2 linked regions of the Cricetulus griseus genome follow. The protein of the gene in region 1 interacts with the protein of each later gene in a pairwise test. Links are inferred from orthologs where the notes say so. Each region holds a gene or a part of one and is shown on either strand. Other genes may lie near its edges.

The links. The genes of interacting proteins can lie anywhere in the genome.
Region 2: the proteins of Rbfox2 (region 1) and Hnrnpf interact in binary tests that used the Homo sapiens proteins (3 or more experiments, as listed by UniProt). The link is inferred for Cricetulus griseus from reciprocal best matches to the Homo sapiens genes RBFOX2 and HNRNPF.

The regions. Positions count from the first base shown.
Region 1 is NC_048595.1:374,580,367-374,585,292, forward strand, and holds the start of Rbfox2 (RNA binding protein fox-1 homolog 2), read right to left. Parts: upstream 3,293-4,926; 5' UTR 2,838-3,292; coding exon 2,664-2,837; intron 1-2,663. UniProt on the Homo sapiens protein: RNA-binding protein that regulates alternative splicing events by binding to 5'-UGCAUGU-3' elements. Prevents binding of U2AF2 to the 3'-splice site.
Region 2 is NC_048601.1:27,002,601-27,007,607, forward strand, and holds the end of Hnrnpf (heterogeneous nuclear ribonucleoprotein F), read right to left. Parts: intron 2,882-5,007; 5' UTR 2,833-2,881; coding exon 1,585-2,832; 3' UTR 968-1,584; downstream 1-967.

The sequences.
Region 1 (4,926 bases):
CAATGTCTGAGCACTCTAGGTTCCTCTTCCCTAAACCACTGAATGGCCTGAATCCTCTTCCCTAAAACCTCTGAATGACCCACATCTTCACTTCAAAGGCCACCTACAGAGAGACTTTGCACCATCTCTAAAGCTGTCTATCCCTTTCTCTGCTTAATTTTCTCACAAGCTAACTGCTGGTTTGTCTCTTTCCATGGGCTATTAGTTCAACAAAAGTAGGGTTTCTTTTTTATATCCTCGAGGGTTAAAACAGTGCCTAAACACCATCACTCTGGAGGAAAGGAAGGAAGATCTATGAATTCAAAACTAGCCTGGTGTATATAGCAAGCTCCAAGACAGCCAGAACTAGACTGAGAGATCCTGCCTCAAAAACAAAACAAAACAAACAGTGCCTAACAGTATCACAGCTTCTTGATAAACATTAGTTAAGTATTACACACCTACAGGGTTTTTTTAAGTTTTCATTCATTTGTCTCCCTGCCCAGGTCACATATACAGTTAGGAAAGGGAACTTACTTGGCTTATGTTTTTAAAGAAGGCAACCTAGAAATCATTTTATACAAACACTTTTCCAAATAAGAAGAGGTCCCAAAACATGAGTTTTCCCCAGGATAATAGAGCTAGTTAAAAACAGAGGGGGGGCTAAGTCAATAACAATGTTAAGTCTTGTGTGACATGGTTTAAGAGAACTACAATAATGAGCCGGGCATGGTGGTGCATGCCTGTAATCTTAGAAATCTACCAGGAAGGCAGAATCAGGAAGGTCAGGAATCCAGAAGTTCAAGGTCATCCTCAACTACCGCAATGGGTTCAAGACCAACCTAGGCTACAAATACACCCCTGTCTCAAAAACAAAAACAAAACCTACAATCATAAAAATGTACAATGGGAAAAGTAAAGAATATCTGTAAGTATACAGAGTAAAATAATTCTCTAAGGGATAATTCTAAGTTATCCAATTGCACCCAAAGGACCTAATTCACTCCTTCCTCTGAACATCCCCAAAGTCTCTATGCTCTACTTCATTTCCAAGTATCACTATCCTTAGCCATTGTGAAAGCAGTCAGCAAATAACAGGCCATAAGCGAAAGAATGGGAAAGCAAAAAGAACTATTAACTAAGTCTAACAGAAGAAAAAAAGTGACTACACGAGTCCTCAGATGTGTGCACACAGCAAGTGAAAACGCCCACCGGCATCTCTATCCTGTGGCTCCTCTTTATCATCCAGTGCTAACCCACCTCACTTTGTCTTGCCATTCTTCCTATGCCTCTGAGATTGACCTCACAATCACTCTGCCCGATAGACTACTTCTAGGGGAAATAAAAGCCAGCAAACAAAAGAATTCAAAAATAAACACCCAGGGAGTCCTTTTTAATTAAACCAACTGAGGTTACAGTGTGGGTTCTGCAAAGGAGACAAGAGGCTCACAGCAAACATGCCAGGCTTTAAGTACAGCTCCTTCCCTGCCACAGGAAGTCAGGCAGAGCACAGGAAGTCTTCAGCGCTGCAGAGATTTCCACGAGTGGTGTAATGGAGAGAGCACAGGAATAGGAATGAAACCAGCTATCGGGTTGGGTTTAGTCAAGTCCCTAGTCTTCTCTGAACTTTTAATTCCCTATCTATAAAAATGAGGTTGTTAAAATATGCTGGAATTTGAGCACACCCTTTCCCACCACACACACAAAAGGATGCAAAGTACCGACACTTCACTGAAAGTGCACATCAGCTATTCCGAGTAACTCTTCTAAGTGTATTAGATTGAGAAGCCCTAGTGGTCCCTTCCATCTCTAACATTCTATGGTTCTAAAAGAATTAAACAGCATCCCATTGCTGCTGAGTGAGCCTCTCCATTTCACAACCAATATTTTCTAAACAGAGACCAAATCCTAAAGCCTATAAAAGATTCATGCCCTTCCTCAAACTAAGTAGTAACCCACAGCATCAATATCTTTGCCACCCCCTCATCAGTCAGCTTACCCTTGAGGGCACAACTCAGAAACCAGTGACCCAACAACCCTATAGATTTTCTTTTCTACTCCAGGACACTAAGGAACTCGCCCTACGAATGTAGAATGCAACGGGTAAAGCACTGGAAGGGCATGCCCAGTGTCTGTCTCCAGACTTATTAGCACGTTGCACAAAACTGAGACTGAACACCACGGTGCCTCCACACTACCAAACTCCGCGGACTTCTCAGGACTCCCTGTGTAACTGATTGAACCCGCAAGCTAAGCCACATCCCCTTTCGGCTCTTTCCAGGAGTTGGCTGGCTTTTCAGTCTGTCCACACATGCCGCTCCCCTTTTCCCATCCCAGTGTGCCCAGGGAAAGCCAAAGGCTCCCCATTCTTCTCGGGAGCTTTCCCACTAGCTTCCCTCGTTCTCGACTCGGCCCAACAGCTCTCCTCTGGACAAACAGATCCAGGATGCCCAACTTCTCAAGGAACTGGGGACGAGTTTAAGAAACAGACTGCATCCCGATCCTGTTCAATCCCCCAACTCCAACAGGAAAATCCCACTCCCTCGCGCTGCCTGCGGGGCCCCCTTAGGAGCACAGCCCCTGCACCGGGCCCCAAGCCCACTCTCCAGCCAGGCCCACCCGGCGCCCCGAGGCCCGAGCCCGCCGCGGCCCGCCGTCACCGGGCGCCCGTCCCGCGCGGTCACCTGCATCCCGCCGTCGGCCGCCTCCTCGGTGCGCGGCCGCTTGCTCAGGCCGGGCTCGGGTCCGTCTGCCCCCGCTCCGGGCACCGGCAGCTCCAGCTCCGACTCCCGCTTCATGCCCCGAGCAGCGGCACCGGGCCCGAGCTGAGGCGGCTGCTGCTGGCCGCCTTCCGCCATCCGCCCGCGCCCCCTTCGCCTCCGGGAGCCGGGCGACCCGCGACAGGCCACCTCCCCCTGGGCCTTGGAGCCGACAGTCGCGACAGGCGGGCGCGCGCGCCGGCCCCCCGCGTGCGTGCGTGCGTGCGCGCCGGCCCGGAGTCCCGCTTCGGCTTCGCTACCGCTCCGACTCAGGCTTCGGCTTCGGCACCGGGTCGGCTCCGGCTTGGCTTCGCGCCGGCCGCTCGCTCGCTCGCTCGCTCGCTCGCTCTCTCTCTCGCTCGCTCGCAAGCGCGTGCGCGGCTCCCTCCGTCCCTTGGTCCTTCAGTCCCGCGCTCTTTCACCACTCGCCGGCTGCGCGAGGAAGGGGGCGGCCCGGGCTCCCTGCGTGGGGAGGGCTGTTTATTTGGGAGGAGGAGGAGCGCGAAGCCGCAGCCAGCTCACTGGTCGGGATCCTCCGTCCCGCCACTGTGGCAGCACCGGGAAGGCGGGGAGAGAGAAAGGAGGGAGAGAGGGAGGGACCTGGATGTGTGGGATTCGGGCCGCCCGCGCGAGAGGAGGCTGTGGTGAGGGGGCGTGGCTACGCCCCTCGGCAATCGCCGCCGCCTCCGCGCGGGCAGCCCGCGGGAGGCCATGAAGGGATCGGAAAAGCTCGGGAATCTCCGGGATGCTCTGGGAGGCAAGGATCGGGAAGGGTCCGCCTCTTTTAGGGCGGCGGCCGGAGCGCGGAACTGGAAGGACCCGGGTACGGGGCAGCGACTCAGGCTAGAGGTATTAGTTGTGCGAAGTGGGTGACCTGTTCTCTCCCGTCTGGCTGCCTGCGATTTGGGGAGCAGACGGGCGCTCGGCGAGAGGAGGGTCTCTTTGCCTGCTTCCTCTCCTGCCCAAGAACGGAGAAGTCCAGGAATGAAGACTTTCATATATGCTTTTCTATGAATAGAATGATCGCATTCCTGATGATCTTAATAATGCTCGATGTTTATAAGAGCTTTACGGTTTACACAATGCAATCGGGACCCGTTTTCAGTCCAATGGAAGAACCTGGATTTTTTCAAGTCTTGGAGCTGAAACGTGCTCGGTCCAGATCACATTCTCTTGTTTTTACTCTTTGCTGCTTGAGTAGCCGCTACCTCACTGTTTATCAGCTTCGTGCCGTTAGGTTTGTCCAGTAGTTTTTTTCCTGCCTGGCTGTAAATAGAAGCTGCATCTGCCTCCCTGGGTCCCATACTGTGACATGTACATCGTGAGGGAATGTTGCACAATAGCCTAGCTTCTAACCTTTCCCTCGCTTGCTACTTTAAACAAGTTAGTTTTTCTTTTTGGATCCTTACTGCAGTATCTGTAAAAATAATCCTTTGAGTCAGTGGTTCACTTGGTACCTTTCCAACACCTCCCATTTCCATATTTGTCATTTGATAAATTTCACTTTTCACAAATAGAGGCTGCTGCTGGCATCCAGTGAATAGAGGCTGGGAATGTTGTTCAAAACTCTCCTGTGCATAGGACAGTCCCCACAAGAGAGAGTTGTCCAAACCAGAATGTCAATAATTCAGAGATTGAGAAACCCTGGGTTAGATGATTTCTGAGGTCACTTGCAGCATGTCTCTGACTTGGCCTTTGAACTTGAATTAAACACCTAAAAATGGACAGAGTGGTGAAGATCTGTGTCAGAGTCAGACCAGCTTAATGAGGCCCAATGTGCAGGCTAATTGGAAAAGACTATACAACTTGCCTTGAAGCTGGGTTTTCCTACTGATTACATTGTATGTTTTTAGGCTGCAACATTGATACCTTAGAAGGTCTTGACACCTTATAAAAGGAAGCCAATTAGTGACTCTTGTCCCTCAGCCTCTACACCTAAAATTAGCCTAACAATTGTATTTTTAAAGGAATTGTTATGAAGATCAAATGAGTTAACAGCATTAAGAGCTTTGATCGTGTTAAGATTTGAGTTACAAGTGTCCTCCAAAGGCTCATTTGTGGCAAGTATTGGATCATGAGAACCTACTTACTAGGGCCTAATGACCTACACAGTGAATTAATGCATTGATTGATTCATAATTGGGAGGTATTAAAGGATGGTAAAAACTGGAAGGTGAGGACAGATTGG
Region 2 (5,007 bases), on another chromosome or scaffold:
TGTCTAGTGCCGCTGGGTTTCCTTCACGCTATGACTGATAAATTGGAAAACTGGTTCTTTTCTAGAAACAGAACATGACTATGACCTCTGAAACAGGACACACCATTCAGTGGCAGAAATATTCTCAACACCCAAAGAGGGCTGGCTGCCAAGGATTTGGATTCCTGTGTCTGCTCCTTTTTGGCTCATTTGTTGTAGACAATAGCTGTACTTGCTTGTCACCCTAAAAACAGTAGCCTTAACCACTAATTGGCAAATCACCCCCAGACTGAATGTTGGTACTCCAGCAAATGCTTTATGCCCCCGCCCCCAAACTATGATGGCTCAACTTACAAGAACCCTTACCACTGTTACAGAAAGCTCAGGTATGAGCCCTAGTAACTACAAGGCACTCCAATTCTGGGGATCCAACACCCTCTCTAGTCACTTCAGATACCAGACATGCATGCGGAACTCACAAGCAGGTTTATGGCTTTTTTGGTTTTTGAGACAGGGTTTCTCTGTGGCTTTGGAGGCTGTCCCGGAACTAGTTCTTGTGGACCAGGCTGGTTTCGAACTCCACCTGTCTCTGCCTCCTGAGTGCTGGGATTAATAAAGGCATGCACTACCGGTGCCCAGCTAGGATTTTTTCAATAGCATATAATGTATATAATCACAGGTGGCAGCAACTATGTGCTTCTCGTGTATACTGGACTGTTTAGTCACTGTCTCTACAATGCACTTTTCATTTTAAAAGACGGTGCCCAACTATTTGAATCTGCCAGCCTAAACAATGTAGACCAAGATGGCCTCAAACTCATGGCAACCCGCCTGCTTCGGCCATTCAAGTGTTAGGATTACAGGCCTGAGACACCGCTCGAAGCTAACATGACTACTTTCAAATCCCTTCTAAAAGTTAATAAGGGTTTACAGATCCTTCTCAACCACCCAGTTTGCTGCCTTTCGCTGAGTAGATAAGCTGTGCCAGTCATTGTGAAAAAGTCTTTATTTTAAGAAAAAAATTTAGTTAACAAAAAATTTAACAAGTTTCACTTAGCAAAATACACCCAAAAGGAAATCACAGTACAAAGAAAGCTTTAAGTCAAGGCCTCACCAATTCCTACAGTATTAGTATTGTGTCTCAATTCTCAAAACTAACTTTTAAAAAGCTTAAACTTAACCTAAAGATTTAAATGAAAATATAAACTAGAATGAACATGAGAAATGCTTCTCTTTGCATCAGGGATCTAGCACCTTTTGAGTTCTCCAGAAAAGTACATGTCCCCAGTGTGTTCACTGTGGTGTGCTTAAAGATCCGCTCAACATACTTAAACTACTTAACTCAGATAACATCACTCTTAAGTATACTACCAAAAATGTTAATTGAGAAAAGCGGAAGAAAATAGTTTTAGTTTACTCAATATTACATGCTAGAAGAAAAGTTTGCATGAGAAACACTGAAGAGGTAATTTTTTAATCCAGATTTTCACAAACTCATGGTGCAAAGTGGGTCCCCCAGCTTCCTCTAGAGTTTAAACTGCTCTTGACTGCTTATTGGCTGCCTGTGAAATTTTTGATTGAAATAACTCAAATGCTCCTACTATACTAATCATATCCACCCATGCTGTTCTGACCGCTGTAGCCGGCCCCGTAACAGCCACTCACTGACTGGCTCTCCAGGCCACTGTAAGTCGCCTGGGCAGCTGACACTCCCATGCCCTGCATCACCTGGCTGCTATAAGCCCCGTTGCTAGCCCCTGTTGTTGAATTCAGGAAGAGTTCTATGTATCTGTGCTGCATGTTGGCCCTGTCCTTCGACATGGCTGCCACTGCTTCTTCATGGGTGGCAAACTCAACATCAGCTTCTCCCGTCACTCTTCCATCAGGACCAATCTCAATATGAACTCTCACGGGGTTGAGTGGAGAGAAGAAGTTGTAAATGTCGTTCTCCGTTGCTTTGTAGGGCAGCCCTCTCATGTGCACGCAGTGGCCGGTGGTGCTCTGCACTGTGAACTCGCTGTCTCCATATCTGTGGTCATACATTCCTGAGAGACAGTAGCTGAGGTCTCTCCCAAACAGGTCAGTGGTGAAGCCATAGCCATCACTGAGGCCACTGTATTCTTCATAGCCCCCATAGCCTGCACTATAGGCACCAGACCTCATCCTATCCAAGCCTGCCTGTTTGACAATGCCAATGTATCTCCGTGCTGTGCCAGGCCGGTCATAAGGCCCAGGCCTCTGCACAGACATGAACTTCAGAGGTGGGTCTGAGTATGACCTAACTTCCTCCTGACTGCTCTTGAACACTTCAATATACCTGTGCCCTATTCTCTCCTTGTGCTTCCCTAGAGCTTTCTCGGCTAGCTCTTGTGAGGCAAACTGAACGAACGCCTCCCCTGTAATCTTGCCCTCCGGGTCCACAGGTAATGTGATCCCGTTTGGCACAATTTCCAACCCTGAGAAGAACTGAACAATTTCTTCCTTTGTGCATCCAAATGGGAGTCCCCGAAGCCTCACAAAGCCATCATTGGCGCTGTCGGCGCTGTTTGGACCACTGTGCTTCAACACCCAATCCATCTCGGTTCTGTGTGACTTGAACACCTCAATATACCGGTGTCCCATGCTTTCCCTGTCTTTTTTCAGAGCCAATTTTACATCATCTTCTGACTCAAGTTCAACAAAAGCCTCACCACTCTGCCTGCCTTCTCTAGTATAAATGAAATGAACACCTGCGACCCCATCATGAATTGTGCAGTCGGAGAGGAAGTTTTGTACGTCCTCAATTGAGCAGGACCAGGGTAGGCCACGAAGTTTGACCACATAGCCTTCACCTCCCTCAGGGCCCAGCATCATGGACACTTGACAGAGCTGATGTCACACAAGCTTGGGCAATTTTTGGTAGCTGAAAGAAAAAAACAAAATAAAACCTTTATACAACATTCATTTAATATGCATATTAATAATATTCATCAGACATGATTTTCTCCATTTCACAGATGGAAGTAAGGATGAGTGAAAATAACAGAAATAGCTAGTTACCAGCCATGGAAGTATACACATTTAATCAGTTTTGGAGGGAGAAACAGCTAATTTTCTCAGAGTTCCAGGTCAGGTTTATATGACTGTGACTCCCATCCAAAAAGAAAGGTGGGCCAGGATTCTGCGTTCTAGGCTAGCTTGGGCTAAGGCGTAATTCCCCATCTTTAAACTATAAACTCCTTTAATTCCAGCACTCGGGAGGCAGAGGCAGGTGGCTTGTGAATCTTCGTGAGTTGGAGACCAGCCTGGTCTACAAGAGCTAGTTCCAGGATAGGCTCCAAAGAAACAGAGAAACCCCGTCTCAAAAAAAAAAAACCTTAAAAACAGAAAATAAAAATATCCGCATGCCCCCAAAACAAGGGTATTCCTCTTATGTGCTATCAAAAAGACAGAGGTAAAGCAAAAGAGCCAAAGACCAGAGTGGGTCATAGTTCTGTAAGGCCTTGTCTAGTATAAATGACATCATCAACAGCAAAGGCCCATCACTGCAAAAGGCTAACACCCTACCCCAATGTAAAAGGAGTTTTGACAGGGTTTCTCCGTGTGGTTCTGGCTATTCCGGCACTCTAGACTCTAGACCAGTCTCAGAACCTGTCTCTGCCTCCCAAATCCTGGAAATAGAGGTTTATGCCGCCGCCACCACCACCCAGCTGTAAAATAATTGTTTTGGAGCATGGAGAAATGTATTTGGCAAGTAGTAATCAAAGGATCAGTAAGTAGTTCCAGTCACCTTCAAGTTACATACTGACATGAGACTGTCTCAAAAATAAAACTAGAGGATAGTAAGCTGAAAGTGTATAAATTTCTTGCCACCAAACCTGAAATGACGTGGAGTTTTGATCCCTAAGAGGCCAAAAGTCAGTGGAAAGCCTTGACTCTTCCTCCTGACCTCTACTTGCATACTCACCTAGACACGATATAGTATTAAAAGATGTAAATAAAAGAGCCAGGCCCAACGAGATGGCACACAACTTTAATCCTAGCACCTGGAAAAGGAGGCAATTGGGATCTCTACAGTGCAAAACCAAGGCCAGCCAGGGCTACTACATAGCCATACCTTGTCTCAAAACATTAAAAAAGCTGGACAGAGGTGGCATAAGCCTTTAATCCCAGCACTTGAGAGGCAGATGGATCTGAGTTCCAGGCCAGCATGGTCTACAAGACCTATTTCCAGGACAGCCTCCAAAGCCAGAGAAACCCTGCCTTGAACCCCCAATTTTTTTTTAGATTAAATACATAAAAATAAAGTCAGACAAAGCAAGGTAGTACACACCTATAACCAACATGTGAAGACATAAAATAAGAATAAAGTTAATACAAGTAAGAACTAATTCATGGTCAGCACAGGCTACCTACTTATTTATACTCACCTAGACTACAGAAACAACTTATATTAAAAAAACTAACAAAAATTTTAAGGAAATACCTTTTTGACCTTTTAAATCATTAAATTTAAAATACTGACAAAAATTCTACTTACCTGCGTCTACACCAACTGGAGATGACAAGAATGTCACCCCGTCTGAACAATGGTACTAAAGGCACTACTACTTAACAGTGGGAAATTGATATAGACAAAGTTACCTTGCCTATGGCATAAAGATAGGGCAAACTGTAAGGGAGAGTGGGGAATAGCCTGTATATCCCTCATATGCATAATTATATAAACATATATTTGCAAAAGTTGGATTAAAGTTGCAGGCACCTTCTAATTACCACACCCTATGCCTCACAATTTAACTTTATTGTAGTGTTGCTATGATACAGTTCCGACACTTTTCTTGTTCACTAAGAATCTGGGTACATGCGTATGTTGGAGTAACCCTAATACCCTTTTCAAAGCCAGGACATATGTAAGTCCTGTCATCAGGGACACCTGATCACTTTTTTTTTAATGTGTTGTTCCTTCACCCTACTGGAATAGATCCATATATCTAGTATTTGTTCTTGGTTTCTACCTCCAGGTAACGCCCCAGACCCATCCCTGGA